2 linked regions of the Callithrix jacchus genome follow. The protein of the gene in region 2 interacts with the protein of the main gene of each other region in a pairwise test. Links are inferred from orthologs where the notes say so. Each region holds a gene or a part of one and is shown on either strand. Other genes may lie near its edges.

Region 1 (4,924 bases), on a different chromosome or scaffold from region 2:
GGCCGGGCCTTGGCCTGACCCCCTGGGGGCTGCTGCTGCTGTTTCTGCTGCTGCCGCTGCTGCCTGCATTTAGCCCTGCGGTTCTTGAACCAAACCTGGGGAGCAAGAGGGGAGATGGGGTGGGTAAGTGGGGAAGAGGCCTAGGAGAGCCGCAGGGTTCCCAGGAATGAGGATGCTTATTGGTGAGAGGTGCCAGGGTCACATCTCTCTACTTTGCTTCCAGCTGTGGAGCATCTGTTCATCCATCTATCCATCCACTCATACATGCATGTGCCCGTGAACACATGCATACATCACACCTACATCCATCATCCATACATGTTGTGTACATGAACACACACATATATCACACCTACAGCCATCCATCCAATCATACATGTGTGTGTACATGAACATCACACCTACATCCATCCATCCAATACAAACATAATACACACATACAATTATACACACACCATACACACATACACCATGCATACATTTACCCATCTATCTGATCATACATACATATACCATACATATATTCATCCATCTGATCACATGAACATACAAATATACAATTATAGACACATAAACTGTACACATATACATCATACATAGCTGCACTTTAATCATACATACATACAACACACATTTCATTTATCAATCCAATTATACATACATGTGTGCACATGTGTACATCATGCATACATCATACAAAATACATGCATACAATTATACACACATACGCCATATACACATTCATTATGCATCCATTCATCTGAGCGTACATGCATACCTCATACATGTATATGTCATGTACACATTCACCAGTCCATCTGATCACACATACATTATCCAGACGCTTACCCATCTGATGATACATACAAGTGTACACACATACATCATACATAGGTTCATTCATCCATCTTATACAATTGTATGTACATACATCATACACACATGCATCACACATGTATTAATGGTCTATCTATACATGTGTACATCATATGTACATTCATCCATTCATCTGATCATACAAGCATACAAATATACAATTATACACACATAATCCATCCAATCATACATATATACCCTCCTACAACACACACTTTGTCCAATCATATATACATGCATACACTCATATATAAATACACCCATCCATCCATTCATGCATGCATACATACAACTGTACATGTGTACATACATCATGTATACCTACATCATGCATGCATACATTCAACCATCTATCTTACCTATGTGCATTCATGCAAACACATATATACATGTATCCATTTAATCATACACAGATACTCATGCATGCACAGACACTCATCCACGCTTCCAATCACACATACACACACACACATATACAGTCACACATACATACATTCATCTATGCATCCACCCACCCACCCATCAGTCAGTCAGTTCATAAATGTGCATTAACCATCTTCTACTACTCTGAGGGTCCATCCATGGAACTGACATTCTAGTTGGGAGAGACAGAGCCTAAATAAACAGTAGATACATAAATCAGATGGTATCTTAGAGGGTGATAAATACTGTGGAAGAAACAATTGAGCGGGGTAAGGGGCAGCATGGAATCAGGGTCGCGGGGAAACACCGAGGGGTGAGATGCTGTGGTCAGTGTGCGTCTCATTGATGGATAAGCAAAGACGCAAACAAGGCGATGGGGCCTGCCATATGGTTATCTGGAAAATGAGCATTTCAGAAAGAGGACACTGAGTGCAAAGGCCCCAGGCAGGGGGGTGCCCAGCAGGCAGGTCAGAGGCCAGCGTGGCCGGAGAGGATCGGAGGGCGGTGAGAGCAGTAAGAGGTGGGGAATCAGTGGGATGGCGGAGGGAGGAATTTTTGTCCCCTTTATAACTGTGGCTGTAACCCTGTGATCTCTCCCTCCTCCCATCACTCTGGGTCCAGGGAGGGCCCATGGAAGGTCACAGGAAGGGTCGGGAGGGGTCCGGGGACCCACCACCGCACCTGAACCCTGGACTCGGGCAGACTGATCTTCAGAGCCACCTCCTCGCGGGCATAGACATCCGGGTACTGGGTCTTGGCAAACAGTGCCTCCAGCTCCTCCAGTTGGCTCCGGGTGAAGGTGGTCCGTTCCCGCCGCTGCTTCCTGGGGGCGCCTGGGGTGGGATGGGAAACAGGACCCTCAGATCATCCACATCTGCTGCCATGAGGAGGCCCTGAGGCTGGTGGGATGCCAAGAATTCCATCCTGGGTGCCATCTGCTGAACTAGGGGTGGAATACACGTTCCCTGCCCTCCTACACCTCACCCTGTCCTGGCATCCTAGGGCTCATGCCTGACCCCAAGGGGAACTGGCTTTAGCCCTACAAGGCAGTGTATCCATCCAATATATGTGTCAGTCATTTTCCCTCTTCGAAACTCTCTCATGCACCGTCTAAGACACATTCAGTTGAAGCATGACATTAACAATTTCTAGCCTATAAAAGTAGCAAGTCCACACCGCTCAACTTAGTGGGGAAAAAAAAACCAGCTAAAGAATAACACTACAAATAACTGAGTGCTCACTTCACTCAAAAATAAGGATCTATAAAAATTAGCCAGGTGGGGTGGCAGGCGCCTGTAATCCCATCTACTTAGGAGGCTGAGACAGGAGAATCGCTTGAACCCAGGAGGCGGAGGTTGCAGTGAGCTGAGATGACACCATTGCACTACAGCCTGGGCAACAGGAGCGAAACTCTGTCAAAAAGAAAGAAAGAAAAGAAAAGAAAGAAAGAGAAAGAAAGAAAAGAAAGAAGAAAGAAAGAGGAAGGAAGGAAGGAAGGGAGGGAGGGAGGGAAGGAAGGAAGGAAGGAAGGAAGGAAGGAAGGAAGGAAGGAAGGAAGGAAGGAAGGAAGGAAGGAAGGAAGGAAGGGGAAGGGAAGGGAAGGGAAGGGAAGGAAGGGAAGGAAGGAAGGAAGGAAGGAAGGAAGGGGAAGGGAAGGGAAGGGAAGGAAGGAAGGAAGGAAGGAAGGAAGGAAGGAAGGAAGGAAAGGGAAGGGAGGAAGGAAGGGAAGGAAGGAAGGAAGGAAGGAAGGAAGGAAGGAAGGAAGGAAGGAAGGAAGGGGGAAGGGAAGGAAGGAAGGAAGGAAGGAAGGAAGGAAGGAAGGAAGGAAGGAAGGAAGGAAGGAAGGGAAGGGAAGGGAGGGAGGGAGGGAGGGAAGGAAGGAAGGAAGGAAGGAAGGAAGGAAGGAAGGAAGGAAGGAGAAAGAGAGGAAAGAAAGAAAGAAAGAAAGAAAGAGGAAGGAAGGAGGGAGGGAGGGAAGGAGGGAAGGAAGGAAGGAAAAAGAAAGAAAGAAGGCTTTGTAGGCCAGGTGCAGTGGCTCATGCCTGTAATCCCAGCGCTGTGGGTGGCTGAGACAGTTGGATTATTGAGACCAGCCTGGGCAACACAGGGAGACCCCATATTCACAAAAAAATAATAATTTTTTGTATGTTTTATTAATCCAGATCCTGCACAATCTACAAAAAAATTTTAAAAGTTAGCCAGCCATGGTGGCCTGTACCTGTACTCCTAGCTATTCGGGAGGCTGAGGCAAGAGGATAGCTTGAGCCCAGGAGTTCAAGGCTGCAGTGAGCCATGATTGCACCATTGTACTTCAGAGTGAGCAACAGAGTGAGACTCTGTCTCAAAAATAAAATATATATATATATACACACATACAAGCTTTGCTGCCTAGTCCTGATGTTTCACACCTGCAATCCCAGCTACCCTGGAGGCTGAGGTGGGTGAATCCCTTGAGCCCAGGAGTTCAAGGTTGTGGGGCGCCATGATCACACCACTGCACTCCAGCCTAGAAGACAGGGTGAGACCCTGACTCTGAAAAATAAATGAATAATAAAGTGTTGCTAACAGATGAAAATTCCTCGCTGTCCCTTCCAGATTGCATCCCCTCTTCCCCGCCCTAAAAGGAACCTCTATCCTAAATTTCTAGGACTGTCCGTGCTTCCCTGCATTCCCAAGGGACATGCATTTCAGATGAACCCAGAGAGCTGGTGTATGGTGAGGTCGCCCCCGTGACTGCCTTCTTCCTGCAGGCAAAGGGACCCACAGGTCCTCCAAGAGATGGGGCCAGCCTGGGGTGCCAAGAGAAGTGAATGTACTCACTTGGGTAGGGCACAGCCTGGTGCATCAGATCCACGCTGGGGCCACTGAGGGCCAAGGTGTTGACGGAATAGTGGGGCCCCGGGTTCATATACGCCATCATGATCTTCAGGGACACTGAGGCCCAAGTCAGGGGCCTGCAAGAGAAGAGGAGGGATGCTCGCTCACTTACCAGTTACTCACATGTGGTGACATGTGGTGTGGGAAGCAGAGAAGTTCCTTTTTCAAGTTTCCTTTCTTGGAAAAAGAGTACGTGTGCTAATAACTCTCTGTTAAGCCCTATGCTATGTAGCTGTCAGACATGCCACACTTACAGTACATTCTATATCCTTGTACTTTAACCAGGATATCTGTGCTGGACGTGCTCACAGGCATGGCCCAGCTCTCCATTGCTTTTACCTGTTGAGAAAAGTTTTAAGTTTTTAGCCAATCAGGTTTTAGTTTAGATTGAGAGGTCTGGCCCCAACCAATGGAGATCAGACACAGCAGTAAGGATGACCCCAAATGCATAAGATATAAATTTGTGTGTTTTCCTTTGTTCTTTGTACTCTCGGGGCAAGGTGGCTAGCGAGGGTACCCTTCCTGCAGTCCAGGAAGTAAAAATTGCTTGCCGGAAGATCCACTGTCTCAGTGCTGATTTTTCTTTGCAGCACCGAGCATCTATTTCCAGCATGCAGGCTGAGATTCAAATCCTGCCTCAGTCTCTTCTTAGGTACGTGGCCTTGGCCATTTATCTCACCTCTCTAAGCCTCTGTGTCCGCACGTGTAAAACAGCCTCTGCTTAAGTTTCTCAGAGCTTCCTTGAGAC
Region 2 (5,511 bases):
GTTAATACCAAAAGATCAATGGTTTAAATGTTATCTAAATATATTTCAATTCAACAGAAACTTATGTAATCTAAATGGGAAACTTCTGATTTTGGCAAAGGTTTTCAAGCTTTCTTTTGCTGCCAGCAGAGATAAGTTTGGATGTGTGTGGGCTAACTGCAGACTAGATTTTTTCTAGTTAATAGTATTTACTTGTTTCATTGTAGGAATTATATGGAGAAATTATAGGGAAGATCTTTTTCATTATCAACAATAATGGCAGGGTCATTAATAACTACAACTGTACAGTTCTATAAACATATTTCAAATGCCTATCTAGGTAGCTTGCCAATTCCAAAGAAGTTAAAGCCTAATGATTATAAAAATAGATTATGACTCTACTAGTTAATATTTTGATTTACACCCAAAAATTGTGAAACACTTATAAATTGGCCAACTCTAATTTATTAGCTCTAAGATTTTTTCCCGTTACTTCACATTAAGAATTCAAAAGATTAAAAAACGTATCCTCATTAGTGCTATTCAGACATTTTCAAGTGTGGAATTAATGATTCCTGAAAGAACTAAAAGTGAGGAAAAAATAAGCTAAGGAGGTGAAAGTCAGAAGACTTGGGTTCTATTCCTGCAAAAGTAGGATTCAGTTGCTAAGTGGGCAAAATTCCCATGTGCAATCTATGCAACTTGAAAAAAAGGAGAGATTACATCTTTCAGAGCCTTTTCCTGTTAAATATAATATCCTCGATTCAAGAACCAGAATCTCTGTTAACTAAAATATTACTGGTCACAGAATGTTAAGCTAGAACTCTATTAGCAAATGTGCTCACTGTTCTTCCATGGATGAGGACCTGGATTCTTGTGAAACACCCAATTTAAGGTCAAATCACTGAATCAGTAGTGAGTAGTATTGAATAGTACTGTCCATAAGTTTCAGCCTCAGTGACCAAAGAAACTTCCTTGGAAAGGTATACTAAACATTTTCATTGGATGAGCTATAGGCAAGATGAACCCTAAACCAACGTTTAGGAGAAGTGGAAGAAGATTCAGTGCTGCCTCTCAACCAGTTAACTGTATGACGGTGTACAAGTCTTCACTGCCTGGCTTCTGCTTCCCCCCTTCAAAAATCACACCATGGTCAGCGACTAGGTGGTCTGTACAGCGGAGTCCAGTTTCTCTTCTCTTTATTAACTCAGAGGCAGAGTCATCTGTATCAGAATTCTGTGTTCCACATACTTTTCTTTTGTTTTGAGCCCATCATTCTATAATTGCCTATTCCTCACAAAGGCGCTGAAAGAATACAAAAATCTCCGAGATTTGTGCTGCGAACTCTAATGGTAAAACTCAAGATCTTGACATTAGTTCAATATGACTAAGCACGTGGGGCAAAAGATAACCCGAAAGATGATCCTTTCAGTTACATAGGCTATACATTTACCTGTAATACCCAAAGTCAGTTGCTATTTTACATGTCTATTTTCTTGGGGATCATTCCCCCAACTATCATTTCACGCCAATGGACAGACACTGTAATCTTGAAATACGCTTAAAACAAGGGGCCTGATAGCCTCTAGGATATCTGAGCAGCTTCCCGCACCTCTCCCACTAGTTGTTGGGACTAGCACCAGCCCCACAAGAGGTGCAACCAAAAATGTCTCCAGATGCTGCTCTAGATAATGTCCCCTGAGAGAGGGGAGATAAAATCCCCCTGGTAGAGAACTACCGATTTAAAGAACAACTCTTTTATGTAAGAGAAACCTGACACTGCCCCCTTTTGGCACCTAAAACCACCTTAGGAAGGAAAGTGCTAACCTAGGTTAGGAGGCCGAGGCTGCTTCTTGGAGACTGAGAAATGCACTCAAGACCTACAAGGCCTTTCCTCACAGCTTGATCATGAGTGGAAAGGCCTAGAGAAGCGTGGCAAAGAACTCCGGATCTGGGAACCCCCCTCATCTTTACCATACACTAGGTGCACTGGAAAGTAGATAGGAAATAAGTATGCTCTGAAACAGGCCAGCTGAAACTTTCAAGAGGAGCCAGTCCAGAAATTTCCAGGTAGCAAGGGACCACCCAGGGCAGGTCCACCCGAAGTCCCAAGCTCGGCGGCCTGCGGGTCCTACCCGTGCTGGTTGCCCGCGCGGAGCTCCCGCCACGCCCACCGGACGTCACTCGTTACACAACGCCCCCCGCCCCCAGCTTACGCAATTCTGCCCTCCCGCGGCTCCCAATTTTCCCGGTGACTTCTGTGGGTGGGGAAGGGAGACGCCGCCTGACCGGCCTCGTTCCCCTCGCGGAGGATTCTCTCCCTGCCCTGGCAGTAATTTCCCCGCCGCGGGCCCAGCCCGAGAGTCAGTTCCCGGAAAGCGCGCGGCAGGAAGCGAGCGGACGCTGGGGCTCGCCCAGCTCCCACCCATCCCGCGCTGGGGCGGCCTCGGTCCCGGTCACCCACTCCGCGCCCGGCGCGCGCGCCCGACAGCCAGGCCGCGGTCGAGGGAACCCCGCGCTGAGCGCCCCTCCCCGCGCCGCGTCACAGTCGGCTTCCAGGGCGATCCCCATTGTGACCGAAGCACCCCGGGGCGCCGCCCCCTCCCACACCCCCCAGCACCCCAAGACCCGACACTCCTGTGGCCCAGCGGCCTCGGGGAAGCAGAGGAGCCTCCCGGGGTGCAGACGAGCTCCGGGTCCCGGGCCCTAGGGGCCAGAAGGGTGCGGTCGGCCGGGCCCCGCCGCATCCCCGCGCGGTCACCTGCTCGCAGCGCCTCGCAGGCGGCGGCCAGGGCCTCCCGGTAGCGCCCCTGGTGCAGCAACTCCCCGAGCCGGCCGGCTGCCCGGGCCCGCTCGCGCTGGCCTGGGAACCACTTCTCGGCCAGGTGGTTGAGGACGACGCTGGTTCTGAAGTCGGAGGCGGCGATGGCGGCGGCCAGAGGCGGCGGCCGCGGGGCAGTCCCTTCAGCATCGGTGGCACTGGCGGTGGCGGGCGGTAGCCGGTCCCGGCAGAGGCGGCAGCGAGCGCGGAACTCCCTCCGCAAGCAGCGGCGGCAGTAGCTGTGGCCACAGGGCACCGTCACCGGCTCGCTCAGGAAGCCCCGGCAGCCCAGGCAGCTGAGGAGCCCGCCGGCGCCGCCGTCCGCACCCGCAGTCGGGGCCGCGCTCCAGCTCAGCCCGTGGCGGAGCCGGTAGTTGAACACCAGGCAGTCCACCAGGACACCCAGGCACTCAGGCCTGGCCGGGGCCCCGCGGCGCAGCGCAGCCGCGAACGCCTCCAGCGCGCCCTTCAGGTGGCCGCCCAGCGCCAGGAGCTCCCCGCGGCGGAGCAGCAGCTCCCAGCGATCCGACTCCGCGACCGCGCGCTCCAGCCGGTGGCCGCTGCCGCCGCCCACTTCCCAGAACCGGCCTCGGCCCTGCGGCGCTGGGGCCATCTCCCGACTCCCTTCCGGGGAGCTCCTCGCCACCGCCGGAGAGGACATGGCCCGCGGAGGGCTGCTCCGCCGCCGCCACCGCCGCCGCCGCCGCCGCCCGCCGCCACGGTCCCGGAGCCTCCCGGGCGCGCGGCTCCGCACGCGGCCCGCGAGCAGGGGGGCGTGGCGCGCGGACACGGCGGGGCGGCGCGCGCCCGGGAAGCCCCGGGGGCGGGGCCTGGCGAGGGCGGGGCCCGCTTGGCGACTGCACCCGGGACTCCCTCACGCCGCCCGCGGCCGCGCTACCAAGGAGCCGAGCGCTGGGCCCCGCCCCTTCCGAGCCCGCTCCCAGCGAGAGACGCAGATCGGATGAATCTCCCGGCGGAGAGCTATCGGCTTTTCCGGAATGGAGGACTCGGCTCGTGACGGAACAAAGCCCGAAGAAGCAGGGAGCCTTAGACCCCGCTCGCCTGGCCGCCGACGTCCCCGGTCTGCGGTGGCCCGAGCCCCTGCCTGGTTGGAGGGCACTCCCCTGCCGCGGGGGACTTCGGGTCTCCACCCCTCTCCCGAGGCGCCCGCCCAGGCGGGACCTGCCCCAACTCTTGGCGGGCGGGATTCTCCTGGCGTGGCCTAGTGCTTGTCAGGTGCGGGTCTACATTTTCATTCGTCTGTGCCTGGGTTCCAGGTGGGCGCGCCTAAGCAGGGGGTCTAGGAGGGCACCGTAGCCCGATGACTCGGACTCTTCGGGTCTAGAGGCCTCAACTTTAAACTTGAACAAAAAACCCACGTTCCTGGGGCGACTTCCTCCAGAGGGTAAGGTGTGTTTCCTGGTGCCCGGTTGACTGCCTCCAGCCCTGCTTAAAGCTCATCCCCGACGCACCTCGAGGGAGAAAGCCCCCAGTTTCCTTAGGTGTCCCCACACCTCGAGAACTGCCCTACAGCTGGCTAAAGTCTATATTTGGCATTCGTAAAAGAAAACATCAAGAAAAATGTTTTTCACATGGCGGTCACCATATTACTACAACCAAAGCAGGGTCTGCAGCTTTGCCGACAGAAGAAAATGATAGGGTTGATATAAAATGGGTTCTGTTTTCCTTAAACTTCACAGCAGCAAATTTAAAGCTCTCCGCTGAAAATATTTGTAGATTTGATTATAGGATATTAGAATTAGGGGAGTCACTTAGAATTTTTAGTCCTTTTTCAAATCTTTGGAAACAAAGTTAATTGTTCAAAATCACAGAATCTAATAGATTTTAAGATCACGTCTATTCCACTATTAACTACGTTAGACTAATCATATGTAATAATTCATATGTAATATTTCATAGAAAATGAGGTTTTCAAAGTAAAGGAAGTTGCTAATTGGAGAGTTCATCTGAACATGCTATATCTGAAATTAGCAAAAGTTTACTATGTCTCTTTATAAGGAACAGAGGAGGCTAAAAGATGTTTTGAGTTAGTATGTTTTCCCTACACAATGAGCAAGTCGTGTAACTTCAGAAAAGATAAAGCTATATTACCCTAAGGGGAATGAATACAAAAGAGGTGCCTGAGAAAAAGCCAAGCCTCCTGTTCCAACAGGATGCAGACACAAACAAGTTCATTTATCATTCATACTGCACCTGAACCAAACTGCAGCCAGATCCAAAGAGCACCTCCTAAGCATTTGGCATGTGAAACATTTGGATTAATTCATGAGGATAACCTTAATTCCAATCCTAACCCCCTAAATTACTACCTTCCCGCAACAAGCAGAACAGTGACTTTCATCTGATGCCCACATATCCCTTGAGACCTGAAGTCACAAATAATATAACAAATACCTATGTGTATACGCACATTCATTTTGTGACGCATTCTTATTCTTAATGGCAACTTGCAAAATGTACAAGAGTAAATATTTAATCAATGCATTCATGTTTATACAAGGAGTATCATAAATTAATAACAACTCATAAACTTCTTTTCAAATATAAAGTCAGGTTCCATTATGGGATTTCTGCCAAAAGTACAATATGTGGTTCAGAAAAAAAAATGTGAAGTATTATTTGTCCTTTGGAGTTCCTTCCCCTAATAAATATGACAACCACATCTGATTGTGATGTGAAATAAAATGACA

What was found. The genes of interacting proteins can lie anywhere in the genome.
Region 1: the proteins of LONRF1 (region 2) and CRX interact in binary tests that used the Homo sapiens proteins (3 or more experiments, as listed by UniProt). The two-hybrid records come from large-scale screens. The link is inferred for Callithrix jacchus from reciprocal best matches to the Homo sapiens genes LONRF1 and CRX.

What each region holds. Positions count from the first base shown.
Region 1 is NC_133523.1:41,741,385-41,746,308, reverse strand, and holds part of CRX (cone-rod homeobox protein), read right to left. Parts: intron 4,254-4,924; 5' UTR 4,220-4,253; coding exon 4,120-4,219; intron 2,133-4,119; coding exon 1,981-2,132; intron 96-1,980; coding exon 1-95. UniProt on the Homo sapiens protein: Transcription factor that binds and transactivates the sequence 5'-TAATC[CA]-3' which is found upstream of several photoreceptor-specific genes, including the opsin genes.
Region 2 is NC_133514.1:28,999,757-29,005,267, reverse strand, and holds the start of LONRF1 (LON peptidase N-terminal domain and RING finger protein 1), read right to left. Parts: upstream 3,527-5,511; 5' UTR 3,462-3,526; coding exon 2,741-3,461; intron 1-2,740.